3 linked regions of the Stegostoma tigrinum genome follow. The protein of the gene in region 2 interacts with the protein of the main gene of each other region in a biochemical or structural test. Links are inferred from orthologs where the notes say so. Each region holds a gene or a part of one and is shown on either strand. Other genes may lie near its edges. The genes, in order: jam2a, partitioning defective 3 homolog and jam3b.

Region 1 (10,411 bases), on a different chromosome or scaffold from region 2:
TACTAACCTCATCCCACCTCCTTGACCTGTCCGTCTTCCCTGGACTGACCTATCCCCTCCCTACCTCCCCACCTACACTCTCTCCACCTATCTTCTTTACTCTCCATCTTCGGTCCGCCTCCCCCTCTCTCCCTATTTATTCCAGTTCCCTCCCCCCATCCCCCTCTCTGATGAAGGGTCTAGGCCCGAAACGTCAGCTTTTGTGCTCCTGAGATGCTGCTTGGCCTGCTGTGTTCATCCAGCCTCACATTTTATTATAAAGAGATAGTAAGAACTGCCGATGCTGGAGTCAGAGATAACACAGTGTGGAGTTGGAGGAAAACAGCAGGCAAGGCAGCATCAGAAGAGAAGGAAAATTGACATTTTGGGCCGGGACCCTTCTTCAGAAATGGGGGACAAGTAAAGGAGCTCTGAAATAAATAGAGGAAAGAGAGGTGGGACTGGGGAAGGTAGGTGGAATGCTAATAGATGAGTGCAGGTAGGCAGTGGTGGGGATTGATCAGTGGGGATTCCTGCAGATGTATTTGGATGGAACACTAATGGCGTCCCTCACCTCATACATCATGCAGGAGGAACATTCCTCTACTGCACTCCCATCCCTGCTAGTCCCCTTATCAGAAAGTAATAAAAAGAGAAGCTTACCACATCAGCAGATGTGCAGGCCTGTCTGAAGTGAAAGGTTTTCTTTGATTCCTTGGATGAAGGTGAGGCAGGGGGAAGCGTAGGGGTAGGTGTAGCACCTCCTGCCATGGTGAGGCTAGTGGTGAGTGTGATGCGGATGAGGGAGTCATGGAGACAGCAGTCCCTACGGAAGGCAGATAGGATTGGGGAGGGAACTATATCTTTGGTTGTGGGGTCAGATTGCAGGTGGCGGAGAATTATACATTGAATCCGAAAGTTAGTGCAGTAATACGTGAGGACAAGGGGGATTTTGTGTTTGCTTTTTGTTGCAGGGTGGGGGTGTGAGGGCAGAGGTACAGGAAGTGCAAGAGATGTGGTTGATAGCATTTTCTGCCACCAAAGTGAGGGAAATTGCGTTCCTTGAAATACAAGGACATCTGGGATGTTCGGGAGTGGAACGCTCCATTTTGGGAGCAGACGTGGCAGAGGCAGAGGAATTGGGAGTCAGGGATCGCATTCTTGCAGGAAGATGGGTGAGAGAAGGTATAGTCCAGATACATTTCCTGCTTTGTTTCTCAACAATGTTTGACATATCAGAGACAACCTATGCAGCTTAAAATTTACAGGAAGTCTGACTGTGAACTGTCAGCCAGCATTAACTGATGCATTCACATGACAATGCCTCTGCCTAGCAGAATTGACTTGCCAAACAATCCAACATGTCTCCTCACAAAGCATAATCATGTTGATTTCTGCCTTGAATTGGAATTATTGTGCATTGTCCTAATGAGTGCAAGATAAAAGGCTTCAACAAAAGGTACCTTTTTTCATAATGCTCCAATAAAAATGTTAAGAAGTAACATATTCCAGAGGGTAGTAGGAAACCAACCCAATCTGGAACACACCACAAATACTCAAAGAAACATCCAAATATTATATGAAGTGGAACCAAACTATGAATCAGTTGCAGCGATTTAACTAAAATGAAAAGAACTGTGGATGCTGGAAATCTTGTACAAAAACAGAAATTGCTGGAAAATCTCAGCAGGTCTGGCAGCATCTATGAAGAGAAATCAGAGTTAACATTTCAGGTCCAGTGACCCTTATTCCGCACTCAACCCAAAACCTTAACTTTGATTTTTCTCCACTAATGCTGCCAGATCTGCTGAGATTTTCCAGCAATTTCTGTTTTTGTACAAGATTTAATAAATACTTTTCATAAGATAAGGATTACTAATCCAAAACATATACCTATTAGGCTACCATGTCCTCACTATGAGATTTTTACTCAACTTCATGTACACAATACTATGCGTACAATATGAATACAAGCCAAGATAGGAATTTGCATCTACCAAATGAGTGGCAGGAAGCAGCCTCATACCATTAATATATTCACCTTTCTTCTATATATTACTTGCCTCATACATATTCCCCCAGATAATTGCAAGGCTATAACAAGAAAGTTATGATTGTGAGTAATGAAATGGTCGAAGCAAACAATGTAAGTGCATTTGGGGACAGCTGTATAAATACATGAGAGCAAAAGGAAAAGGATATATTGATAGGGATGGATGAAGGACATTAGAAGAGGGCTCAGATGGGGTACAAACGCTGTAAACATTTGGGGTAATGATCTGTTTCTGTGCTATTTGGAAGTAACTTTTATTATACAACGTGCAAGACACTGCTGTTTCCTATAGAGGCGAAAGAACTGTTTAAAGAATACTGGGAAATGAACATACAGGCCATCCTAGGGTTGCATTTCCAGGTATAAAAAAAGAGTCTGACTAGTATTCATTATTTCAGGCATCTGAAGGGAAGTGCCAAACAACAGAACAATTGAAACATTATCAAACAAATTTTCCTGCGGATACCAGAAATTGTTTGATTAGGAATCTGCCCAGGAAGAAGTGAAGAAAAGATATCTTCAGAAGCTGCCCCAAACACAGACAACTCCTTCTCAATCTCTTCAAACACTGTTAATCCTTACAGCACACAAGAGTAATGTTGTGACATTATGACTGGTTACACCAAGGGACCAACAACACAACTTGCTATAGATGAGAAGGCAAGATCATAAAATTATAGAACTGGAGTAAACATTAGGAGGCCACTTTTTTAAATTCAATCGTGGACATTGGTGTTGCTGTGTGGCCAATATTTATTCCCCATCCCCAGCTGCCTTTGAACTGAATGACCTGATAGATCATATCAGAGGGCAGTTGAGAGTCAGTCACATTGTTGTAGGTCTGGAGTCACATGTAGGCCAGACCAAGTGAGGATTGCAGTTTCCTTCTCTGAAGAAAATTAGAGATGTATGGGTTCTTCTGACAATTGGCAATGGTTTTGTGGGTATCAGTGGATTCTTAATTCAAGGATTGTTTTAAAAAATGAATTAGCCTGTAATATATATGGTGGCTCTTTGAAAGAATAATCAGACACCCCTGCTTTTCTCCATAACCCATATGTTCTTCAACCTGAAATACATCCCATCTTCCTTTTCAAATTATTTAAGGTTTCAGTCTCCTCCAACTTTTCAGACAGTGTTCTAGGATACAATAAATCTTTGTGGTAAACAAAATTCTCCTCATCACTCCTCCAGATCTTTCAACAATGATCAAGGGAAACAGAATTTACAGCTTCCTGGCACCTCAGTCTTGATTGCATATATTCCTGTCTTACTGTGAAAAGTTTGAAAAACTCTCAGTGTGTTTTACACAATGCATTACTTTTCAAAAGAATGATGAGTATGTCTGCATATCTGTTACCAATTCTTTACCAATTCTGTTATATTTAAAACAATGAAATGTCAGCGTGTTCCTCCAGACAACAGAGATAAATGGATAGGAGTTTTGAGGTGATATCAGTCAGAAGAATGTTTATGAGAGCACCAGGAAAGTCATATCTCTCAAATTTAACTATACAAAGTTAGCAATGGCTCAGTTGAAGGGGTACTGACATAAAGGGGTATGTGGAGAGCATGGGAATCTGACATTAGGCCAGATGATCAGGTATGATATAAAATGGCATGGCAGGCTGAATGATCTTCTCCAACTCCTATATTCCAAAATCTAAAGGTCTGAACACAGGCTGAGCGCTCTTTGTCTCTTTAGAAGAAAATGTATCTGGTGACAGTACTGACTGAAATGAAGCATCAGGAAAAGGTATAGCCTAGAGGTCATAAACATGAACGAATCATTAATAAATCTAATAAAAAGTATTCAGAAGAAACATCTACACCTAAAGAGAGGTGAGAATTTGGAATTTGCTACAATGAGAAAGAGGGAGGGAAGGTGAATTGGGTTCCTTGTTTTCAAATTCTCAAAGTATCTGCAATGAAAGCCCAAAGTTCTTTTTAACATGTGGCTATAGCTTTTCCTGATGCTCCATTTCAATCAGTATTGTCACCAGATACATTTTCTTCTTAAGAGACAAAAGAGTGCTCAGCCTGTCTTCAGAGCTGCATTTATTGTTTCTTCTCCTTTCTCTGCCAAAAGCAGCTCCCTGAAACACAAGCTAATTTGTATACCCTGTGTTGCTGACATTTTAAGGCTTATTAATTGTAGACAGTTATACCTCCAACTGTGAATATTCTCATAAAGGTGTCAATCAAAAAAAAGGATGAGGGCCATTTCACACCTACTCGGGGAGTTTTTTTGTTTGGCTGGTTTCATACCCCTTAGGGAAGATGTTAATTTCAGCATGGATTGAATTTGCCCAATCTGCATTGTTGTCATAAAACATGGTCAACCTGTATGGGTCTGGTAATTGCTCTGGTAATTTTAAGTTAGTGTATTTAATCCTTTTTTAAATTCAGATCATGGAAGTCTCAGGTATTAGATTAAATAGATCCAAAAGATTTTGAAACTGGATAGTCCATATTTTATATTATCATGACATAAGAGAAGTGATTTGCATATGTGTGTTTAAGGGGACTCTAGATAAATGCACAAGAAGCAACAATATTCTAAGACAGTAAGACAGAGCAGTAGATCAATACTGGGGTAGTCAGTCAGACAACTTTCCATAGGCTTACACAACTATATAGCATGAAATGATCAGTTCAGGGTAGCTATTATCCTGTAAGTTGGCTTTGATGCACCTGATTTCAGCATTATGTTTGTGTGGTGGACAAATATCTCTCACTCTATTTATGAGATTGCCAAAGAGGCTAATGATATGGTGCACGGAACTGTAGGAATCCCATGTGTTTTTTTGACCAATGAAGTTGGACAGGAGCAGAGCAGTGCAAACGTTAGAGGCTCTCTGAGGTTGCTGCCCAAGACTGGCAAAAATGATAACAGAAACAGAAGTTGCTGGAAAAGCTCAGCAGGTCTGGCAGCATCTGTGAAGAAAAAAAATCCGAGTTAATGTTTCGGGCCTGGTGACCCTTCCTCAGAAATCAGACAAAAGTGATGTTCGTTAACATCAGAGATAATGGGAACTGCAGATGCTGGAGATTCCAAGATAATAAAATGTGAGGCTGGATGAACACAGCAGGCCAAGCAGCATCTCAGGAGCACAAAAGCTGACGTTTCGGGCGTAGACCCTTCATCAGAGATGAAACGTCAGCTTTTGTGCTCCTGAGATGCTGCTTGGCCTGCTGTGTTCATCCAGCCTCACATTTTATTATCTTCGTTAACATCCCATTGTGTTGCCCATCCCCATTTACTGTTGAGCTGAGTAGCTCTCTAATAAAAAAAACCAAAAGAACTGCAGATGCTGTAAATCTGCTGTAAGAGGTATAAGCAACACATGGGGGTGTAACGGAACATCACTTTTGTCTGAGTTCTGAGGAAGGGTCATTGAACCAGAAACATTAACTCAGATTTTTTTTCCTTTACAAATACTGCCAGACCTGCTGAGCTTTTCCAGCAACTTCTGTTTTTGTTGCTGAGTACCCCGCTAGCCCCTTGCAGAGAGCAGTGAAGAGTCAAACACATCACAGTGGATCTGGAATCGCACAAACGTCAGTCAGATGTCTTTCATTTGCCTGAAAGAACTAATTCGTCGAAGAAAAGTCACACCGGACTCAAAACGTTAACTCTGTTTCTCTCTCCACGGATGCTGCCAGACCCTCTGAGTTTCTCCAGCACTTACGGTTCTACTTTATTTCCAGACCCCCAGAAGCCGCAGCTCACTGGCTTTTGTTTTAAGTTGGGTGGATGGAGAGGAGACAGGGGAGCGAGAGGCGGAACGTTCCCCCTTCCTGCGCTGTGGCCATCGCGCGATTCGTGGGACGGAAAGGAAAGGAGCGCAGCGCATGATTCGGCGGAGGAGTTCGGGCTGGCGATAGAACGAACCTCCTGCCCAGCTCAGCAAGGAAGGCCGTGGCAGTAGGACCCTGCAGGCGCAGCCCTCTTAACAAACGGGAGAGAGAGAGAAAAAAGTCTTGACTCACTGAGAAGGAGCAGGAAAAAGAAACAGGTCGGGTCTCATCCCGCTGCACACAGCCTAGCAACCGTCGGGAAAGGCTCTGGCTAAACTCTCTGGGGGCTACCTTTAGCAGACTGACTGGAGTTGGGGGTGTGGTGGCTGCTGGTGGAGACTGTGATAACATGGTGAAAGTTGAAACCTTTGTGTGTTCCTTCATCCTCCTGGAGCTGTGTAAGTACTTGACAAAAGTGCCTTCAAACATTGTCTGCCGCTCCTGTCTAACTTTGGCTCTCTCTGCCACCTCCCCCACCATCACCAGATCCTAACGGTTTCTCTTTGCTTGCTGTTTAGCCACCTTGAATCTGAGGAGTGAGCTGCTTTCTCATTGATTCCTCAGCAGTTTGGCAGCTCTCTGGACCTGCTTTTATTTGGGGTTCGTCCCTGTTGTTGTTAATGTCCTGCCCCCCCCCGCCCCCCCGCCTTGCAGCTTAGGTCCTCGGGGCGGAGAGGTGTTTGTAAATTATTCCTGCAGTTCTGTCCAACAGACTCCCTGCACGGGACGTGTTGGTGGAATGGAGGAAACTTTTGTAGAATTATTTGAAGCCCACACCAGTAATCCGCGGCTGCCAAACTTTGGGGATTTAAAAGGAAAGGAAAATGAAATAGAAAATTCTGGAAACGTGGTCAAGGGGATGATTAACCCTATGTTAGAATACATGCCTGAGTTCAGACACAGTCTCCTCACACACAGTCAGGAGAGTGAGTGAGAGGACAATGGTTGTTGAGTTTAACACCCTTCGCCTCAAACAAGTTGATGCAGTGATCCTAATGTAAAGGCAGGAATCGCACACCAAGCAAGGCCCCCCTCCTCCAGGTTTAATGTATCAGCAAAGGCTACAGTTTGTTGATCCCAACCAAGACAATGACTCAAGGCTAAAACAAAGAACTGCAGATGCTGAAGGTCTGAAACATGAAACAAACAACTGGAGGAGGGAGGAAATAAACTGTCAAGTTTTGTATCTGCAATTGCATGGGAAGGTTCTGTGGGGGGTGTTTGAAATGGAGGAGGGGTGTACCAGAGAAAATGGTCCCTTGTAGAAGGCGAGCAAGGGAAGGGAGGGGAACATGTGTCTGATGGTGGCATCTCACCAGAGGTGGCAGAAGTGGTGGCTGATGATCCTTTCAGTGAGGAAACTGGAGGGGTAGAAAGTGAGGACCGCGGGGTCCCTGTTTGCTGTTGTGCAAAGGATGGGAAGCGAAGGTTTGAGGGCACACTTGCTAGAAAATGGAAATCAGATTTGCGTTTAACAATAAAACAGAAATTTATTCTGTGAAAGAAATGAAGAATAAACCAAACAATTTACAAATTTAAAGATTTCAAAACAGATTAAAATGTAATTCCATTAATCTCAATTGCTTACTCTTTCACATCTATAATAGCACATTTTAACTGTGACTTCAATTTCCTTGTCTTGTGAATCTGATAGGCTTCAGGGAGAGGCTTCATACAACTAAGCTTAGATTTTCTCTGCTTCAAGTAACTCCTTCAGAGGTGTAACCAAATACTTCTGGTTTGGAACTTTCAGAATAAACTTGTTACACTGAGGCGCTTATTTCTTAACAGTTCTAAACTGCCTGTTCTTTTTCATGGGCTTTATATTTTCATGAACTTTATAGATTCAGATTCAGCTAAGACTTATGCAGACTGAAATTGAAAAAATCTTTTCCAAGCTATGATTGTTTTCCGTAAGCCCAAGAAAACAATTCAGGAATCTTTTATCTGAAAGCCTAAAGCACCATTGTGTTTACTTTATTCCATGATAAACTCTCCAAATGTAAACAGATTTGCATTAATCTTCCGAACCTATCTCTCTCATGTTGTGTTTTTAAAAGATTTCACAAAGGCATTAGAAATACTTTATAAGTTCATCATTAAACCCCTTCAGACATTCTGAAAACCCATATGCCACTAGTTCAAAATTGAAAAGACAAAAATAAATGAGATTAAAATATTTATAAATCTCATATGTATGTCACGGGTGGCACTTTAGGATCATATTGCATGAATCAGTGCTTCACAAACTTTTTTCTGCTGTGATCCCACTCTTAGGGAATTCCAGCACTTCAAAGAACAAAAATACATAATGGCAATACATTTTCAAGTTGAAATGTTTCTGTGATTAGGAGGGAGTGTGGAGATATTCTTCCCAAGTGCCTGCTGCCCTTGTTCTTTCAGGTGGTAGAGATCATGGGTTTCTAAAGTGACCATTATTCATGTGAGTGTTGGCTTTGAATAATGGTAGGCTTATTAACTGTGGAGAGTATCACAGTTCAGTCTAATGATATACTGTCCAGTGGAATCAAAACATAATGATCAAGAATGAGAACAGTGATCAGGAGTGAGAAGCATGGCTAAATAATCTCAAGCGTAAATCCTTTTACTGTAGCCGCTTTACCAGTGACTTAGACTCAGGACCTATTGGGGCACCTTCCTGGTCTGTGCTGCTCGGCTACTCACTGATGAAATTTGCCATGGTATTGGTGTTACTTTATCACAGTATTGTAAGTTTGGAAGTCCACTTAGCCTTGTGCTGGCTTATTAAAAGAGTTGTCCAGTTTTTGCTCTAGCCCTGCGACTGTTTCCCTTCTAACATATTTGCTTTTATGAAAAGTTCGGAAAGAGATTTTTGTTTTTCTTAAAAACCCTGTTAGCTTGACTCTCTGTCGACCTTGGCACATGCTCAGCCAATGCAGCAGTAACGACATTAGTTCTAGTACATGGACAGTAACACATTTTATATATGGAGCTCCCCTCCCTCCCCCATATTGGCTGTAGTCCATGTTCTGCTTGCAGTCCAATGATCTTCACCCTTCTGAAAGAGAAAAAGGCCAAAAATGTCTTGCTCATAAAAAATTCTTGCGATTGTACAGTGATCCATGTATTACTTACATTTTGTGTATTAAATAAGAGAAGTCAATATGCTTTAAGTAGAACAATTTTAAAAGGAGTTCAGAAAAGGAGAGACCTGGTGATGTTTGTGCATAAAATCATTGAAAGTGTTAGGACAAACTGAGAATGTTCCTAAAAATGAACAGAATCTTGGGCATGATACACAGCTGCATAGAACAAAAATCTAGGAATTTACAGTAAATTTTTATAAATCAATGTTAAGCCTAATTTGGAGTACGGTTCTGAGCATCAAAGTTTGAAAAGAATGCTGAGTTCTTGGAGAAGGTGTAGAGCAGAATATCAGAGGTATGGAACAGTTATGTGGAACGACTAGAGATACTGAAATTATTCTCTACAGAGCAGAAATGATTAAGGAAGTAGCTTTAATAAAGGTGGGATGTTGATAGGTGAAAGAATGTCTGCTCATTTTCAGGGTCAGTAACCAGATTCAGTGTGAAGGCAACAAAATAGCAAAGAAACATGGAATCCCTGCAGTGCATAAAGAGGTCGTCAAATCTGCACTGATCCTCTGACGAGCATCCCACCCAGATCCACCTCCACACCTTATCCCTGTAACACTGCACTTATCATGGCTAATCCACCTAGCCAACACACTACAAGGCAACCTCGCTTGACTTGCACATCTTTAGATGGTTGGAGAAAACCAGAGCACCTGGCATAAACCCACATAGACACATGGAAAACATGCAAACTCCAGAAAGCCACCTGTGGGTGGAATTGAACCTGGGTTCGTGGTGCTGTGGGGCAGTGGTGCCACCAATAGAATTTATAGAACAAATTGTTTAACATGGCATGAGCTGCCTGAAAGGGTAGTGGGAGTGAGTTCAGTAATGATTTTTGAAGGAAATTGGCTAAACCATTTTTTAAAAAGTGAAAATTACAAGATGGGCAAGGATGATAAGCATGGGACTCGATAAATGACTCTGTCAAGGAGTTGGCATGAGGACAAAGGGATGATGGTCTCCTTTCATTCTGTAATATTCTAGGATTCTACTCCTTGCAATGTCTTAATACCACTCTCTTAAATATCTCAAAGTGCAACAGCAGCAACTTTCAATTGTGTTTTGTATTGATTTCATTGAAGTGGAGAAATTGTTCTATGCAGTATCGTACAGCTACAACAGTCATTTCCCACATGGCAGCATCCTACAAACTCCATTGAGAGGACTGACATGTTGGGGCTGTTTTTGGTACAGGTCAGATCTCCTGTTCTTATTCCTAAATAAGTGAATGGGACCTCACTGCAATAATACAGTCACGTATCTTAGAACGTAAGTTTACAATGTTGGCCCTTATGAGCACAACATTCACCTTTGCTAGCCTCATCCCCACCTCCTTGACCTGTCTGTCTACTCTCCCATCTATTTGCTTCATGATCAACCTGATATCACTGTCCCCACCTCTCTCTATTTATTTCAGAGACTCCTTGCCCTCCCCCAT
Region 2 (9,927 bases):
CTGCATGGTAACAAGATCCTACAGTCATAAGTTACAGCATGAAGAAAAAACTAAAGAGAAAGAGAAAGGAGTTGAGGGCCAGTTAACTGAAACCCTGTTTGATGAAATGATAAAGGAAAAACCTAGGCAGGTAGAGGAACAGGCAAGGTGTTTAGTTCTGAAAGATTAATGGAGTTACAACAAAAAGATGAGACAATAAAAGATGTATATCATAAAGCCTACTTGGAAAAAGAATCAGAATGTATTCCAGAAAGTTATTAGATTAGGTTCCCTAGAGTGTGGAAACACACCCTTTGGCCCAACAAGTCCACACCGCCCCTTGGAACATCCCCACCCAGACCCATCCCCCTATAACCCACACACCCCTGAATACTACGGGCAATTTAACATGGCTGATCCACCTCGCCCGCACATCTTTGGACTGTGGGAGGAAACCTGAGCACCTGGAGGAAACCCACACAGACACGGGGAGAATGTACAAACTCCACATAGTTACCCGAGGCTGGAATTGAACCCGGGTCCCTGGTGCTGTGAGGCTGCAGTGCGAACCACTGAGCCACCATGCCGCCCCTTTATTACTTTATGGATAGAATCCTAAGGTGGAAATGGAGACCTTGGCAGGTTGGTGCAGAGGAGAAATGGGTGGCGGTTCACCAGGTTGTGCTGTGGGCAGCATATGAACGGGAATATTACAGGTAGCATACAAATTATTGGTGGGGGGTCATTTAGGAGCAAGGAAAACTCAGGCTAAGATACAAAAGCATTTCTAAAGTCCTGGATTATATAAGGATGTGGTTGAATTTTGCCGTACCTGTCATACATCTCAGATGGTAGGAAAGCTTCATGCAGTAATAAAACCAAGGCCTTTGATGCCAATTCCCGCATTTGAAGAAACTTGTACGCCGATTATGGTTGATTGTGCAGGTCCCTTCCCTAAAACCAAAAGTGGAAACCAGTATTTGCTAACCATAAGGGATGTGTCAACCAGATTTCTGGAGGCAATTCCATTATGGAGTGTCAAGGTGGAAGAGTTGCTTGCTTCCTTTACCCAGGGAGATTCAGTCAGAACTAGGGTCCAATTTTACTGCCAAACTATTTAAGGAGATCATGAATAGTTTAGGCATCAAACACTTTAAATTAAGTGTGTACCATCTTGAATCACAGGGAGCATTGGGAAGGTGGCACCAGACCCTAAAAACCATGCTGAGGGCTTATTGCCAGGATTAGCCAAATTATTGCAATAAACGGACCCATTTATAATGTTTGGCATTAGAGATGGCCCAAATAAATCACCTTAGTTTACTCCATTTGAGTTGACATTCAGACACAAAGTAAGACGGCCTTTAAAATTAATTAAGAAAAATAAATAAATTGTTATGTCTTACTTATAAAGTGGATATCAGGGATTTTCTTTCATTTTTAACCACACTTTTAACAAATTATAAAGGCGAGGCGAGCTTCTCTGGGTGTTTCAGAAGGGAACCCTCTAGTACGACTAGTATTTTGGTTTTATCCTATTAGACGGGTTTGACTTACCCCTTCTCTGGAACAAGTGCATCAACCACGCTGTCTGCTTCCATGTGTAAATTTTTATTCCTGGAACACGGGCTTTGCTGGCAGGGCAGTATTTTATCGTCAGTCCCCAGTTGCCCTCAGAAGATGGTGAGCTGCCTTCTTGAACTGCAGCAGTCTACCTGCTGTGGGTTAACCCACAATGCTCTTCAAAAGGGAATTCCAGGATTTTGACCCAACAACAGTGCAGGAATGGTGATATATTACCAAGTCAGGATGATGAGTGGTTTGGAGAGGAACTTGCAACTGGTGTTGCTCCCATGTATGTATTGCCCTTGTCCTTCTAGATGGAAATGGGTGTGGGTCTGTAAGATGCTTCTGAGGATCTTTGGTGAATTTCGGCAGTGCATCTTGTAGCTAGTACATACTGCTGCTACTGAGTGTCAGTGGTGGAGGGTGTGAATGTTTGTGCATTTGGTGCCAATCAAGTGGGCTGCTTTGTCCTGGTTGGTGCCAAGCTTCTACACTGTTGTTGCAGCAGGCAAGTGGAGAGTATTCCATCACACATCTGACTTAGAGTCATAGAGTCATAGGGATGTACAGCATGGAAACAGATCCTTTGGTCCGACTTGTCCATGCCAACCAGTTATTCTAAACAAATCTAGTCCCATTTGGCAACATTTGGCCCCTATCCCTCTAAACCCTTCCCATTCTTATGCCCATCCATATGCCTTTTAAATGTTGTAATTGTACCAGCCTCCACCACTTCCTCTGGCAGCTCCTTCCATACACATGCCACCCTCTGTTTGAAAACGTTGCCCCATAGGCCCTTCCCCTTTGACCTTAAACCTATGCCCTATAGTCCTGGACTGCCCAACCCCAGAGAAAAGACTTTGTCTATTCACTCTATCCAGTCCATCATGGTTTTATAAACCTCAGCCTCTGATGCTCCAGTGAAAATACCTCCAGCCTATTTAGCCTCTCCCTTTAGCTCAAACCTCCGACCCTGGCAATATCTTTGTAAATCTTTCCTGAACCCTTTCAGGTTTCACACCATCTTTCCTAAAGCAGGGAGACCAGAATCGCACTCGGTATTCCAAAACTAGCCTAACCAATGTCCTGTACATGATCTCCTAACTCCGGTACTCAATGCACTACCCAATAGTATACCAAATGCCTTCTTACTCACTGCAGTATTCCTAGCCTTTGACCTGCTCTCCTAGCCACTGTGTTTGTGCAATTAGTCCAGTTAAGTTTCTGGTCAATGATAATCCCCAGGATGTTGAAAGTGGCGGATTCAATTATGGTAACACCATTGAATGTTAAGTGGTGATGGTTAGATTGTCTCTTATTTGGTCATTGCCTGGCATCTGTGTGGCATTAGTGTTAATTGCCACTTGTCACCCCAAACCTGGATATTTTCCAGATCTTGCTGCATTTCATTATGGACTGCTTCAGCATCTGAGGAGTCGTGAATGATGCTGAACATTGTGCAATCCCTACATCTGACCTTATATTGGAGGGACAGTCATTGATGAAGCAGCTGAAGATGATTGGGCCTAGGGCACTACCCTGAGGAACTCCTAAAGAGATGTGCTGGAGTGGAAATGACTGACCTCCTACAACATCATCTGCCAGGTATGATTCCAACCAGCAGAGCCTTTGCATGGCCTCACACTCCCCGATACCCATTGATTCCAGTTTTTCTAAGACTCCTTGATGGCACACTTGGTTGAATGCAGTCTCGATGTCAAGGGCTCTCACTCCCACCTCACCACTGGAATTCATCTCTTTTGCCCATGTTTGAACTAAGGTTGTAATGAGGTCAGTGGCTGAGTGGCCCTGGCAGAACCCAAACTGGACATCACTGAGCAGGTTATTGCTGAGCAGGTGCTGCTTGACGATAGCACTGTTGATGACACCTTCCATCACTTTACTGATGATTGAGAATAGACTGAATAGTATTTGGTTGGGTTGGATTTGGCCAGCTTGTTGTGCAGAGGACACACCTTTGCAATTTTCCAAATTTGAGTAGAAGCCAGTGTTAGAACTGTACTGGAAGAGCTTGGCCAGAGGAGTGGCATTTTCTGGAGTACTTGTCTTCAGTATTATTGCTTGAGAGTTGTCAGGGCCCATAGGCTTTGCAGTACCCAGAGCCTCCAACCATTTCTAGATATTATGTGGAGTGAATCAAATTGGCTGAAGAATGGTATCTGAGATGCTGGAATCATAGGAGAAGGCCATGATGAATCATCCACACAACACTTCTGGCTGAAGATAGTTAAAATTGCGCAGACCATCATAGAAGCCAACCTTCCATCCATGGACTCTATTTACATGACTCATTGCCGTGGAAAGGCTGTCAACATCAAAGACCCATTGCACCCCGGTAATGACCTCTTACAACCTCTTCCGTCAGGCAGAAGATACAGAAGCTTGAACACATGCACCATTATTAGACTGATGAATAGATGCCTTAGGCTCAAATAATGCTGATCTTGCTAACACTGATCTCACTTAGTGTACAACCTGTGCGAGGTAACCTGTATGCCTCTGTCTTCAGCTGTATGTTTTGTACTAATGTGTTGGGTTCTTCAATAATTGAGAATGGGATATTTGATTGATTGATTGATTTATCATGTGTACCTGAGTACAGTGAAAAGCTTTGTTTACGAGTCATACAGGCTGATCATCGTAAGCAAGGATGCACAGATCAAAGATTGTAAAAACTTAGACAGACGACACTTTCCTATTTATATTCTAAAGATTTTTGGATTTTTAAAATGTTCATTTGTCAGTTTTGTCTTCATCCCCCTCTGGACTTCTCAACCTGACGGCATCTTACTCTCTGTGTTTTTTGTCTTTGCTTACCCCACCCATGTCTCTCCTAACAATGTACCTTGATTGCAACTGTTCCAGCTCTTCTTTAAAAATAAGACCATTGTTTTGTCTGCTACTGTTTAATGCCAATTTACCTGGGGCAGATCCGTTCTCACCATACAGAATTTGGCTCTATTCCAATTAAGCATTTAGACTCTAAATGACATATTGTTTCTTTCAGTTGCCAATTTAATCTTATGATACAATGATCACTGTTTCCTACACATTCCCTGACTGACACTTGATCCAACTCATTCCCTTAATCGAGGTTCCACAATGCCCTCTGAGCTCATTGGACCAGGAACATACAAATCAAGGAAATTTCCATTAATGCATTTCCAAAATGCTTCTCCATCTCTGCTCTTTATACTGTTAGTATACCTCAAAATGTAGCTGGATTATTAAAGCCCCTATTCTCAATATTCTTCAGTTTGTTTGTATCTCTGTGTGTAATTTAGCTGCAAATTTATTCCTCTGTAACTTCTGAACTCTAGAAAACACCCAGTATTACACCTTTATTGTTTCTTTGCTCTGAGTAGATTCAGAAGTTCTGAGGAAGGTTCACTCAATCTGAAATATTAAACTCTGATTTCTCTCTATGACTGTCCGCAGATGTTGCCAAACCTGCAGAGCTTTTCTATCAATTTCTGTTTTTGTTTCTAATTTACCGCATCTGCAGTTCATTTGGTTTTTGCTTAGTTCAATGCTATCTCTCTGAATCTTTTGCAGACCTTGTTTCTTCTTTCTAATGTTACATGCTATTTCCCAACCTTTGCCAATCAGCTAAGCATCCCATGAGGACATTGGTCCTAGCTTTGTTATGGTGCAACCTGTCAGCCTGTACAGGTCCCATCTTCCCATGAACGATCCCCAGAGATGTAGGAATCCCTCATTTCTGCACCATCTCTCCAACCACACATTTTTCTGTGCTTTTGCTTCTGTACCATCTAATTCTTGGCATTGGAGGTAGTCTGGAGACTAATTCTTTGAGGTCCTGAATGATAGTCTCCATGCCAGCCCACAAAGGTCTTCCTATAAGACCTCACCCCTCTTTCTACCTGTGCCCACTAATTTGGATCATGACCTCTGCTTGTTCACTTTTCCCCTTCCAAGTGCCCTGTAGCCACACAATATATCACGGCCTCTGGCATTGGGGAGACAACACACCTTTCTGGATTCATAACTGCAGAAACAGCTATTTCCTTTCATGTATATTCCGTCACTACTGCACTTGTCATGCCAAGGAACCATCTCTCTTCCATGAAAGAGCGAATTGTCTTCTATGCACTCAATAGCTGATTGTCTTCCGGTCACCCAATCCAGCTCTGCCTGCACACTCTCAGTGCCAGCTCTCGAATTCACGGAACAGACGGCAAGGGAGAGAGGACCAGTCGATACAGTGTGGAGCTGGAGGCACTCAGCAGGTCAAGCAGTTTCAGGGATCCTTCATCAGATCATGTGTGCAGTTCTTGCTATCTCCAAGGGAAGGAAGACATTGGGAGCGTGGTAGTGAATATATGCAGTATTTAGTGATGAAGTTTGGCCCTCAGCGCAACACCGTAATGATTTATCTTCACCTCAGTCTGTGCGGCTAGGAACGCGCTTTGCACGTCTGTGGTTGAAGCTGAACGCTGGATTTGCAACGTTGCGGTGCCGTGAGCGGCCAGGGCGGGGAGACACTGGGTGCTCCAGGTTTTGCTTCCCTGATTTTGGGCTGTTCCTCCGGCAAGGCTGTGCTCGGCTCCACTCCCACAAACAGGAACAGGTGGCGGCAGGAAGAGGCGCCGTGTACAACCCGAGCGGGGCCGCTCGCACCACCATGAAACAGAGCATTTCATCGCACGGGGCGGAATAAAGGAAAGATACAACCTTGCAGCCGGCAGCGGTGAGAGAGGAAAGGAAACAGATTAACCGCCAACCCTTTCTTTATTTTGGGTTGAGCCGACGAGACCCTTGTGCAACAGAAGCTGCGCGCTGTTGTTACCGAGACGAGTGATGAAAGTGACCGTCTGCTTCGCGAGGACCAGGGTGGTTGTTCCTTGTGGAAATGGGGCCATCACGGTGCACAGCCTGATCCAGCAGGCGGTGACCAGGTACCGCCGTGCCATCGCCAAGGTGAGTGAGGGCAAAATAAGGGGAGCGGAGTGGCGGCGGACACAATGTATCCAGAGACCAGCCAGGAGCAACATGGCGCTTCCTGATATTCACATTGGATACAAGCTTTCACCTCCCTCTGTGCTTAACGAAGGGAGGGTGAGTGCAGAAAGAGGAGAGGAAACGAAAACAAAATACAAAAGCCGCGACCATAAAGTTAAAGCTTTTCGCACGGCCTCCTCCCCTCCCTTTTCTCCACAAGTTTTGAAATCTTTTTTTTCTTATTATTAAAAAAGTTTTTCGTAACTTTATCCCCCGGCAGATTTGGGTGTATTTTTCTCCTGTCTGTAAATTTATTTTCTTTCCCCTCCCTCGGCGGGGGAGAAAAATACAAACTGGTGTGAGGTGAAATGGAGCGGCCTCGGACTGTGAGAAGAAGGTGACTCAACTCCAGCTCGAGGCTTTCCCAAACACGGAGGCCTCGGACTCCTTTCCTGGGAAGTATTTGACAAGAATTTGGGTTTCATGTTTTCGAACGATCGATTAAATTCCGTAGACGAGTCGCTGATTACTGATGATACCGAAATACGAATAGGAACAGAAGCGTTATTTCCCCCTCTCTCATTTCCAGTCAGTCTTGTCAGTGAGATGATTGCATGAGTAGGATCGGAATTCATTGGCTAATAACGCTGTTTTCGCATCAAGCAACAAAAGAAACGAATTTCTGCTTGAGATGGACACATTGCTCCCCTCTAACTGGTGTCTAATTTAAAGTCATCTCATTGTAGTAAATTAGATTCGTAACTTTAAAATTAACTCTAAACGTTTTCAGACTAGTCTGTTGGGTAATTAAAACAGGGTTTACTTTCTCAGAAAAGTGTTAAAAATAAGAGTTGGAAAGTTTGGCCAATTAGCCAAAGTAGGTAAATGGAAAATATAACTAAACTACATGGACCTTTAATACTGATCAATTGTTGAAGTTAATGTACTGTTAGTGTGAACTATGATTAAAAAGTGCGTTTTTTTTTATTCTTTGCATAGTTAGCACAAGCAAATGAAAGTGTAATTTTCACAAACCTGTCAATTATTTTGAAGAGCTGTGAACAGTTGTGACCTTGAAATTCCTGCCACGTGCATCTTTTAACTCTTGACCAAAAGCATATACATATAAATCTATTTGGTTGAGTTGAATTGTATTCCAACTCTAGTTAAACTGAAAGTGGAGGTTTGTGTTGAATCGGATAATTGGTCGCACAAACTGTATTGCCTACTTTGTGCATGGACTAACTTTTTAATCAATAGTTGAGATGTACCGGAAATGTAAGGTTAGGTATTAGTGGTAGCCTGCTGTAAATGTATTACTTCACAGTGCCACAAAACTACTGGCTAAATATTTAACGTTGTATCAGAGATAATGGGAACTGCAGATGCTGGAGAATTCAAGATAACAAAATGTGGAGCTGGATGAACACAGCAGGCCAAGCAGCATCTCAGGAGATGCTGCTTGGCCTGCTGTGTTCATCCAGCTCCACACTTTGTTATCTTAAATATTTAATGTTCCTTGATTATAATTATTGTGATTTTCTGTATGTTCCTGTGTAGTTAGAATTTGCAAATGTGTATTTACTGTGCAAGAAATATTCGAATAATTGGCTAAATAGTTTGCTTGAGGTATATTTTTGGATTGATTTTTGAAAAAATGTGATGACATATCCTTTGTGTTATAATCCTTGCCACCCAAGCAGTAAGTTTTGTAATGAGTGGACAATTTTTGATGACTTCCCATAAACTTAATTTTAAATGTTATTCATTCACCTTGGTTGCATGTTTAATGTCTAGTTTTCAATTGACCTTGCACTGGATAAAGCCTTAACAAATTCCTGTGGGGGAAAAAAAAATTCTCATCTAAAGCAAGTCATTCATCACCGGAAAAATTGTTGGTTGCTATTTAGGTTAAAGAAAAAGTTTTAATACTGATACAGGTGGGAATGCAGGATTTGATCTGTAAATGCATTAAGAATGAAAACAAGGTATTCATGAATTGAGCGGAATAATGGATCTCATATTTATATGCAGACAGCACTTGAACAGGTCATTGAGGATGTCACAAAACACTTGATGCATGTTGAATTACTTCTCAACTGCAGTCATTCTTAATTTGCAGAGGGGAGTGACAGTTTCTTTGCAGACAGCACAATCTCGAACAGTAATGAGATGAATGTTCAGTTGTTTTGTTTTGAATGATCTTTACTGAAGAAAAGCTGTTGAACAGTTGAGGAAACCTTGCTGTTCTTGTTTGAATACACAGTCTTAATACTTGGTTTTTTGTGCCACGTGAAGATAAGCACCTCTGACAATGCTGTGTTCTTTCAGTAATAGGCTGAGGTGTTGAACTAGATTACGTGCAAGCGGCCTGCTCACAAGCATCTAATTTAAGACCTCAGTCTACACACAGCGCTTTCCAGTCCACAATCTCTGTCATTTAGAAGGACAAGCGCAGCAGGCATACAGAGTAACTACCAAGTTTCTTCAGCAAATCACACATGATCCCAAATTGCAACAGTATTGCTGCTCTTTCACTGTTGAGTGAAACAGCTGGAGTTCCTTCCTAACAGCACTGTGGATGGAGTAGTTTGTGAAGGTGTCCATCATCATCATCATCCTTGGACTTCTATTAGAGACTGCCAATGACACTAACATCCTGTGAATGAATTGTCAAAAAAGAAGTATTGGAAGCCAATAAAATGGCACAGTAGTGGTTAACAGGGATGATATATCAAAAATGAAAGGATGCAGCTGAATTGAAAAACCTAAAACAAATAACAGTATATATTTTATGATGCATTGAATGTGTAAATTATTTAAAAATTATTTTCACTTGTAAGTAGGAAGCATAATTTCTAAGATGAGTACAAGCATTAAAACATGAATTACAAATTACTTACAGCACAGAAACTTGGACCAACTACTTCACACAGTGTGTATGCTTCATGTGAATCTCCTCCCATTTTGCTTGATCTAGTCCTATCACCATTTCCTTCGAAATATTAATGTTTCCAGATGATTGAATATAAGTCTAAACACTTGAGAGAATTGGAGTAAGGTTTAGAAAATAAATGAAAATAAATCAAATGCAACTTGACACCTTGGTGTCCAGCTCCACAAGCGTTCAGGCAATGCTCCTGCAGTATCAACCATGATAGACTGGGTGCTACACCTAGATTGTTGAAAATGTCTCCTCTGGGTCCTGTTTCCTCAGTTCTTAAATGTCTGATGTTATGGGGAGGATGAAGGAAATGCTGCAAAGGCATCCTGAAGCTGTTGTTGAAGCACACCTATGTTGACACTAATGACTGGGAGGAACTTGCTAATGAATCAAGGTGGTACTGGAAATTCCACTTAAGTATCAATGTAGAGACCTAGACTGAAGTTGCTTGGAAT
Region 3 (10,139 bases), on a different chromosome or scaffold from region 2:
TACAGAGTTTACTCCACCATTCGTGTATTCATTGATGATTGGTAATCCTTGACTCTGTTTCCCTGCCTCTTCCATAGGACTCTATTGCCTTAGAAACAGATTTATTAATCTCAGACTGAATATACCGAACGTCCCAACCTCCACAGGTCTCTGCAGTCAAGCATTCCACAGATACAATCTCAATCTCATTGTTTTCAAGTTGATGGCCCCTTCTTCTCAGATAATGCCTTGAGTTTGGAATCAATCTCAGCATCTATGCTGTCTAGTCCTCTAAGAATCTTGCATGTGGCAACCACCTCATTCTTCTAAACTCTAATAAGTACAAACCAAACCTAATTAATCTCACATCATAAAACAAACTCACCATACCCAGATCAACCAACTGAACCTTCTCCGGACTGCCTCTGATACTAATAAGTCTTTCCTTAGACAAGGGGATCAAAACTGCTCATAGTATCCCAGGTATGGTCTGACTAGTGCCTGGTTTAGTTTTAGCAAGATTTCCCTAATTTTATATCCATTCTGTTTAAAACAAAGGCCAATATTCCATTTGCCTTCCTTATTACGTGTTGTCCTTGTTTGTTAGTTTTGTGATTTATGCACAAGGACCCCAAAATACCTGTCCTGCAGCATTTGACAGGTCTTTCTCCACTTAAGTATGCAGTTGCTCTATTCTTCCTGCCAAAAGTGAACAACATCAAAATGTTCTGCCATTGTATTCCATCCAAGTTTTTGCCCACCTACTTGTTTATATCCCTTTATATATTGTCATCCTCACTGCTCACCTTCCCACGTACTTCTGTGGCACTCAAACTCTGCTACTCACTTATGTCATTAATGTATGTCGTAAATAATTGTGGCTCCAACACAGATTCCTCCAGCACTCCACTAGTTACATACCATCCTGAAATTGCACCCTTTAGCTAATCCTCTACTCATGCTAATTTACTACCCTCAATACCATGGACTCTTACCTTACTAAAAACCTAACATATAGGACCTTAGAATGCTGTTTGGAAATCCAAATACAACATTTCTTCCACTGAAAGTGATTTTAAACAACTGACTAGACATTACCAGAATGAGCTAAAATTCATAAAATCAAAAAGAAGTTACATCTGTAATGAATGCCTAATAGAAACAAGTAATTAGAAAATTTCATATTATTTTAGCAGTCTTGAGTTATGTTAGCATCCAAAATGGAAGATTCATATTTTTAGGTACCTGTGTAATGAAACGAGGTAGCGTTTGTTCTCTTATACAATGAAGGTTTATTGCTGAAGTTGGTAAGTAGGTGTCTCGTGTACGGATCTATCTAGTTCTGTGTTTCTCATTTCTGTGCAAGCTGTCATTGATCAAAACAAAACCTGGTTTGTTGGAGGAGTTAGCAGCATGATTGCTGTTCTACAGTACGAACAAAGGGTTCTTGTTCCAAACAAACTCAAAATCAGCTTTATAACTAGCCTTGGAAAAATATTGAAGCTGTGTACAATTTCTGTGTCCTACATTGTGACGAAAGATTCCTTCCAGACACGGTAATGAAACAGTTAATGAATACTTAACTTGTTCATTTCAGTTTCACCTCCTCTCCACCTCACCAAAATACCAAGTATTTTACTCATGGCACAATGTTATCCACACTGCCAATCTCAGCAACAGTCTCAGTATTGCAGTACTACAGACAGAAGTAAAAAAAGAGGACTAGTTTCAGCAAGGATATTTTGTACTTTGGTATAGAAATACTACACAAATAATGGGATAACATACTTTAAGTAATTAAACAATTTTGCCAGTATGTATATTCTCACCTGGAGCTTTTCCTTAATTACCACAACTGTTTCTACGATATTCCGATTTTAATTAAAAGCTTGTTGTTTCAACTAAATTTATTCTGTAATGTTAGATTTCCTCTTGGCAAATCTTAACATCAATATAATTTACTTATAACAGCTAACATAATTCTGTGGTATAATTATCAGCTTTTTGGAAAGTTCTGAGGAAGGGTCGCAGACCAGAAACAGATTTTTCCTTCACAGCTGATGCCAGATCTGCTGAGCTTTTCCAGCAACTTTGTTTTTGATCAGCTTTTTGGAGGGGAGGAGGGTGTGAGAGTTCAGTAGAGAGAGAATTCTGACAAGCGTTCTTTATCTACACAAGCTTCCTTTGAAAAAAAACAGAAAGTGTTATTTTACAACTGCAAATAAATAGAATTAGTATTTTACACAAACATGACTAACTAAACACACCACTGTGTCATGCAAGGGATTTGAGTAGTGTAACTGCATGGGTTCACAAGCCACACAGAAAATCAGCAGCATTGTCTACTTGCCAGAGAATAATCTCATGGCCCAATTACTTTTTACAACATCTATGAATGATGCTTAAGTGCAAGTGAGACAAAATCCAGGCTAAAGAACACAGGCAAGATGAATTCTCTCCAAACATTTGTGAGAAGTGTACAAGGGGTGTCTTTTACTGTGAGGCTGAAGGTCAGAATTCAAAAGAAGGGCATATTACCAATGTAGTATAAAAGTTTGGCTAAACAAGTATAGTTTTACATTACTTTTCGAAAAGGTCAACCAACACCATAACAGGTAAACAAATTCACTAAGTGGTGAACAGTCTAAAGACAGTGTGCCAGCCTATTCTTGTAACGTCTATGAACCCATATCAAGATACAGGAACATCACTCATTTAAACCAGGGCATTATCATCTGAGCACTTTAAATAAAAGCAATGTCTGAAAGCTAATTTTACACTGCAAGTTCTTAAATGGTGAGAAGTTATAGTAACGTTATACAGGCATTAAAATGACTAATGCACATTTGAAGTAACAGAGTGCAAACTCAAAGTCCCCAAGAAAATAACAGAACTTTTGTTCCACCAGGCAGAGACCAAAAACACTGCATCAGCAAGACTGAAAATATACCAGATAAAAATCCAAAGTACCGCAAATACTGGAAGTTAGAAATAAAAACAGAAATTGCTGGAAAAGCTCAGCAGGCCTGGTAGCATCTGTGGACAGAAATCCAAGTTGTGTCACTGGACCCAAAACATTAACTCTGATTTCACTCCACAGACGCTGCCAGACCTGCTCTACTGTTCCAGCAATTTCTGTTTTTGTCTGAAAGTATACTACTGAGTGAACAGATTAAATAAAAAAGGTCTATGGCAATGTCAGGTTTATAATAAAACAAATTCAAGCAGAACACAAAAGTCAGCAAGGAATATAACAAGTAAATAAATGACAGACAAAAGATTTGCAATAAAAGATTACCTGCTAACATAAAAGGCAGGTGTTTTTATAATATCAACATTGAAACAATAATCAAAGGATTTTAGCCACCAACCCCTTTTCTGGTGCTGTATGATTCTTATTCCTTGTACAACGTAGTCACATATGATTCTTATGTAATATCGTTAGGCATAAATCTTGTGCAGAGTAAAATTCACTTTACAATAAAATCAGACTGCATTCTGAGTATGCATTAGCGGAACTAGCAAAGCCAAAATTTAAACAGTAAGATTGCTGATTCTGTGCACTTAACGGTTGCAAGATGGTTCTGTCCATACTTGTATCAAGATATTTGTACTGTTACTAATTTATGTAAGCCTACTATTCCACTAAGATGGGAGAAGTCAAGTAATCTGCCCTGCTAGAGCTCAAATTTGGGCAAGTAATTACACCAATGTTACATGTACAGCAAAAATACAAATAATTGCTAGTAGAAAAATAGCAAGAGAGAGAATGGAACTGAATATCATGGCCATAAACATCCCCAGCACATTCAGTGGACTATAAAACAATCTCCATACATCAGAAAATCATCCACACTGCACATCATTTTATAAAACCTACACAGTTGCAAGAATGACGCTTAGTTTTTCTTTACCTTGATGATTCAAAGTTTATTATTATGCTATTTTGTTATTATACTTTCAGATCGGCGGACATCTTCATTCAAAGCCTCAAAGCACAGCATGTTACTTGTAACCAATACTTGGTGGGGGGGGCGGAAGAAGATAATCAAACATACACAGAAAATGCAAGATACACAGTACTGGGACAGAGCGTCTTTTAGGAGCGAGAGAATTAGTTAACGCTGCAAGTAAATGCTCAATGACATTCTCAAGTTTACTCGCTCCGCGGATTCTCTCTGCTTGAAGCTTTCGAGTTTTTTTTGTTCCAATTTCACTTAAGGCATCTGTGAAAAAAAAATGCAGCCTGGCCAACATCCCGCAGCCGAAATCAACAGTAAAGTCGCATGTTCACTTAGTAGCTTTATTGTTATTAAAAGGAGCCCAGAAATCAAAAGTTATTCTTTTAAAAAACAAGTAAACTACCACGTCAAACTTCACTAGCACATACCCGAGACTGCGCTGAACACAGATGGATTCAGGTGAGGATTTAAACCCGCAGCAAAAGTTGGTGAAAGCGGATTCTGAAATCTAACGATATTAGTTTTTTTCTCGAAATAAAATTAATGACCCACGGCAGGGGAAGGGAGTTACAGTTTGTGCACGAAGCCCAACTGGAATCGGACAACCTTAACAACTCGCAGTATTCGCGGTGGAAGACATCCAATTTGTCTATACTCCTAAAGCAATACAACGCGCCCAATTAGAAACAACTACAATTTTGTGACAAAAACGAATAAGAAGCGCACGCTGCATAAACTCAACTTCCAGCATTTGAACCATTCCTCTCTCCAAAGGCAAAACTTAAAAATGCAAGTAAACTTGCTCCTTGGTCCACGATTGTTCTCGAGAGATATGTTACTCAAGAAGTGCCTTATTAGAGGATTTACAGTACTTTAAACAGAGAAATGAAAGAAAACCCTGCTGAGGCGCAAACTAACGGACAGCACAATTTGCAGCTGGCTCCCCAGGACCGTAACATAAAATTAAAAAAAAACACAATACTTTTAAAAAAACACTCAAACCGTAACAAGGATACAAAGTATTGTTAGTACGTCCAGAGCCTGTTACTTACTCTCCGCCAGGAGGAGAAAAAGCCCAAACTGCCTCCACACCCAGCACCCTCGCGCCATCTTGCATACCGCTGCTCGGGAGGGTCGTGCGCCTGCGTAGAGATTTTAGCCTGGCCATCTCGATGCTGTTACCCCGAGCGACAGCACCATGACAACGAGGAACCATGGCAACGGAGCACGGAGGGGCGAAAGGGGGATGTTTGATGGATCAATGGATGGATGCTGTCACTCCGCAAGGCAGGTAAGAGTGGCAGAGTCAGTGGGGGCAATCTGGGGACATTTTGTTTCCACCATCCAAAATAAAATTCTTAACTGTGATTTTCTTTTTATAGTTCTTCACAAATTTGTTACAGCGATTGTGTCGCTTTAAGGCAGGGGAGTTGGACACTGGGCGAAGCATTTTCTGCCCGTTTAGTCTCAGCATTGGATGGCAGGTGTTCTCATTTAAAAATAAAACAATGTGCTAGTTAAAAATGATATTTATCATGTCAATAAACTACGCAATATTCCTGTCAGCACAGTCGATTTCCACCTCTGTAAGTCTCAGCTCATCTGTTGCTGAAACCCTCAGTATTGTTTTTGTTACCTCATTCTTGACTATTCTGCCATACTTCTGGCTGGTTTCCCACACTTTACCTTCTGTTAGCTTGAAGTCATCTTATGCTCTGTTGTCTTACCTTACAGAAAGGTCCATTCCTCTATTAATATTGTGCTTGCTGACTGACACTGGCTGCCTCTCAAGCAACGTCTTGATTTTAAATTTCTCATCCTCATTTCCAAATCCCTCTAAGGCTTCATTCCTCCCAATCTCCTCAATCACCTCCAGACCTACAACTGAGATATCTGTACTCTTCTAATTCTGCTGTGTGCGTACTCCAAATTTTAAATGCTCCAATATGACTTCAGTTGCCAAGATTCCAACCTCTGAAACACATTCCCTTTACCTCACTTTTCACCTTTAAGACGTCTTTTCTGCTTTATAATACATTTCTTTCAGAAAACATTTAATCACTTGCACTAATGCTTCTTTATGTAGCTCATTGTGATACTTTATTTAAAATAGAGGATTGGTCAACTGAGTTGGTGAACTGCTGGTTTGCAATACAGAGTGAAGCTAACAGCACAGATTGAATTCCCCAACCAGCTGAGTTCACCACAAGGCCACCCAACTTCTCAACATCGTCCCTCGCCTGTGGGCATGGTGACCCTCATGGTGACCCTTAACACTGGTCATCATTCTCTAATGAGAGAGTAGTCTTATGGTCTTCTGGAACCATGGAAACTTTACCTTTTTTAAATGCTCCTGTAAATGCATCAGGTATTTTAAAACATGAAAGGTGCTATATAAATATGTTTTGTCACTGTAGACTAAACATTTCAAGGAGAATTAATAAATTAAGTTAATTATCTGTTCCCTGTGTTGATGAAGCACTGCAATAGGCACTTAATATTTCTTAATTCATAATGACAGATATCATTAACTGAAGGCATTAACATAAGGTCAGAAAAAGCAACAACATTACTTGTACATTGAAAACTTTGGCAGGAACAGAGTGAAGGGATAATATTGCAGCTTCAAGTTTAACACACTTGTTTCATTGCTGCTGAAAATACATTAAAATGGTATTAATCCTGATAAGTAATATAACCACACCATAAAACACAGATAAAAATGTAGCGCAGACAATAAAAAATAGACTTTGGCACTTAATATTTAAACAATGTTAAAAATAGGACTGCAGACTAGAATGCAATGGGTGATGATGCTAAGACTTGACACATATATGAGATTTTTAAACTTCGGATGAGGAAATATTTGTGGGTATTTATTTTAGTATTAATTTATTTGGTGCAATGTAATATGGAAAGATTTATGAGATATAATATTTATGCAGACATGGCCTATTCCTTCAAATATGAGGAATTTTGTGTCTGCTGATGCAACCTGCTGGATTCTATTCCAGCATTTGATCAAATATCAAAAATGAAGTAGATTAGTATAAATTTAGTTAGCAAGCTAGGAGACTAAGTTTAAGTGAAGTATCTAGAAGAAGTTGAACTAAACATGCCCCCATGTATTCCAGTGAATAACAGAAAATTGTAACACAGTAAATCTGAGAAAAAAATCTTCTAGCATTTATATTGTTTGTCTAGTAACATTATTAAAAAGAGTCTTAGATTGAATACTTATGCTACAAAAGATGCTATAAATTACTTTCCAAGTTGTCTGACAAATGAGCACAAATTATGAATGAGTCAGATGAGTTGGATGTTTTTATTTTAACTTGTCATGAAACTTTGAGGTTGCAGGAGAAAACACTGTTATTCTTTAAAACTTTGTTAAAGATTATACATGATTCTGGTGACTCAATTTTCTTTGGATATTGGGAAATTACACAGGGGCATGACTAATTCTACAGAGTGTAGATATTTCACTTATACTCAGTCAACGAGCTTGCTATCTAAATTTATATTAATTTTCTTCATTAACTGAACTTTTGATATTTGCTCAAATGCTGGAATAGAATTCAGCAAGCTGCATGTTTCTCCAAGTAATGTTAATTTGGTGTTTTGGTATGTACGTTTTAAAATGGAAAAATAACATTAAAATGTTGGAGTGTATTATGCATAGATATTACCAATATTAATTTCTCAAGGAGGTGAGTAGTGATTTTGTTCAAACTTTGCATTTTGACCAATATTCACAACATGTAACTTGTCAGGAAATACTTTAATGTTGATTTCTGCATTCCATTTGAATCTATTCTGACCCAATTTCAGTATTAGCCATTTTAACATTGGATTCATGATTTAAAGCAATTGTCAACAATTGAATCAGTGATTATAATTCAAGATCATTTAAGGTAAAGATCCTATATTAGTTCAAACTAGCAACTCCTCATACTTCCCTGATACATAATCAGTTTCTACTTCTGTAATCAACAATTTTTTTTTAATACTTTCTAACCCTCTCCTAACCAAAATTGTATTTACATTGTTTTCCAAAGTAAAAGTAGCACAATCAGGCTATTGATTTTGATGCTATCCCTCAGAACAGGTCCAGTTTACAACCTAGATTATGTCAGAGTAACAATTATCAATGTAGGTATCCCACTTCATTGATATTGTCCTTTTTGCAGTGGATACTAGTTCATAAAACTTGCAGGTATGGATGGTATTTGTAAATCAACACTTAGAATAGCTATTATGTACAATATCATAAATTGTTTGAAATATGATCCAATATTTTGCTCTTTTTACTGAATTTGTGATATGTAATCATCAAGCACTTTGTTTTCTAAGTATGTTTTCATGACTATCAAGCAAATAGTAGGTTCTGCTTTGATAGAATAAAGTACATGAAAGGCATAAAATAAAATGTTTGCCTAACAGCAAACAATAGAAATAAACAGTGGCCCTAACAACATTTGTTTGTGTAAATTGTTTGTCACAATAGGATCTATGCTCAAAATATTTGCCTTCATTTTTTTACTGATGCTGATTTATCTGTTGTGCATTTTGTATATGCTCAGTATTTAGATCATGTTTCCAGTGTCTTCAGTTCTTTTCCTTTTTACTTGTACCATTGATGGCAATACTTGAGAGGAATAATTGCATGCAGGGAGTATGCTTAGTTGAATCACTATTTAGCTAGATTGTTTCCAAGCAACAACAAAAATAGGAAGAAGAAAGGCCATTTTGTTGAAACTGAACTAAATAATAGACATATTAAGTAAAATGGTGGAATAGAGATGACCTTTCAGTACTTCAGAATTATTTGTAATATTTAGGGATAGGAAATTATTTGTTTACAATGTAATGTTAATTTTTAAAATCTAAAATAGTCATTTGCCTATAATAGTACAACATTAACATTATTATCAGCATAAATCAGGTTATTATTGTATTTTGTTTATATTTGAACATTCTTGTGTTGTCCACATCCTGTGATTTTCTTTCCAGCATAATTTAAAAGTCAAGTTTGTAATCCATTCTCAAAATAAGGAGTAATATTCCTTCTACCTCAACAGCTTTGCTTTCAAGGGTCACAAATGCAGTGCATAGTACTTAATCTACCTGTAAATTCTTGAGTAATCAGATGCATGTTAATTCTGTAAAAGCAGGATCAAGCAAAGCATTGTCACATACACGTGTAAACATGTCAATCTTGCCATACATTGACTAATGTCAGAGGACATAAGCTGAGCTTTGCTGCAGGTTTTTAACCTCTAATCCCCATGTGAGTTCATATATTATGATTAAAGTCCTCTAATGCCTCAGATTTACGGTCTCCCTTGGGGAAAGGATGTCCTTTCAGGTCTAATCGTGGCTAAAACTTAATGAAACTGAACATGACCTTGCATCGTCTTGGATGTTTATCAGAAAGGAAGTCTTGTTTAAAAGTTGCTGCTGTGCCTTCATGATGCTTCTATCAGATAATCAAATATGTTTACAGCTAACTTAATCAAGTGCATTCTTTTCAAAATGAAACCATTGAGAATCCGTTTGAACAAAACTTTCTTTGAAATTATTGGGTTTACCAATACAATTCAGAATATATGATTAAAAGATTGGATGATCCATCATGGCCTTCCTGACGTCACCAGCATCACAGATGCCAATGTACAGCTAATCCGTTCCACTGATATCAAGAAATGGTTGAAGGCACAAGGTATGGTAAAGGCTTTTGGGACAAACAGTATGCTGACAATATTCTGGAATCTCATGCTTTGGAATCAGTTGCGCCCCTACCCAAGTTGTTCCAGTGTAGCTACAACACTGGCATTCATCCAGCAATGTAGAAAATTGCCCAGATATGTCCTGCTCACAAAACTAAAACAATAAAATAAATTCCAACCTAGCCAATTCCCGTTCGTCAGTCTACTCTTTGTTATAAACAGCATGATGGAGGGGGTCGTTGATAGTGCTATCAAATGGAAATTGCCCAGCAATAATGTGTTCACAGATGCTCAGTTTGGGTTCTACCAGGGCCACTCAGGCCCTGACTTTATGACAGACTTGATCCAAACATGAGGCTGAGTACCAGAGGTGAAGTGAGTCTGACTGCTCTTAATATCAAGGCAGAAGTTCACTGATTATAGAACAAAAAAAAAGTGCGCTGGAAAAACTCAGCAAGTCTAGCAGCAC

Evidence for each region.
Region 1: the proteins of partitioning defective 3 homolog (region 2) and jam2a form a complex in vitro, tested with the Homo sapiens proteins (2 studies listed by BioGRID and IntAct, with this or other methods). The link is inferred for Stegostoma tigrinum from reciprocal best matches to the Homo sapiens genes PARD3 and JAM2.
Region 3: the proteins of partitioning defective 3 homolog (region 2) and jam3b form a complex in vitro, tested with the Homo sapiens proteins (2 studies listed by BioGRID and IntAct, with this or other methods). The link is inferred for Stegostoma tigrinum from reciprocal best matches to the Homo sapiens genes PARD3 and JAM3.

What each region holds. Positions count from the first base shown.
Region 1 is NC_081365.1:12,612,522-12,622,932, forward strand, and holds the start of jam2a (junctional adhesion molecule 2A), read left to right. Parts: upstream 1-5,617; 5' UTR 5,618-6,182; coding exon 6,183-6,231; intron 6,232-10,411. UniProt on the Homo sapiens protein: Junctional adhesion protein that mediates heterotypic cell-cell interactions with its cognate receptor JAM3 to regulate different cellular processes. Plays a role in homing and mobilization of hematopoietic stem and progenitor cells within the bone marrow.
Region 2 is NC_081355.1:130,247,294-130,257,220, reverse strand, and holds the start of partitioning defective 3 homolog, read left to right. Parts: upstream 1-5,769; 5' UTR 5,770-6,387; coding exon 6,388-6,507; intron 6,508-9,927. UniProt on the Homo sapiens protein: Adapter protein involved in asymmetrical cell division and cell polarization processes. Seems to play a central role in the formation of epithelial tight junctions. Targets the phosphatase PTEN to cell junctions.
Region 3 is NC_081385.1:20,252,954-20,263,092, forward strand, and holds the start of jam3b (junctional adhesion molecule 3B), read right to left. Parts: upstream 5,075-10,139; 5' UTR 5,052-5,074; coding exon 4,994-5,051; intron 1-4,993. UniProt on the Homo sapiens protein: Junctional adhesion protein that mediates heterotypic cell-cell interactions with its cognate receptor JAM2 to regulate different cellular processes. Plays a role in homing and mobilization of hematopoietic stem and progenitor cells within the bone marrow.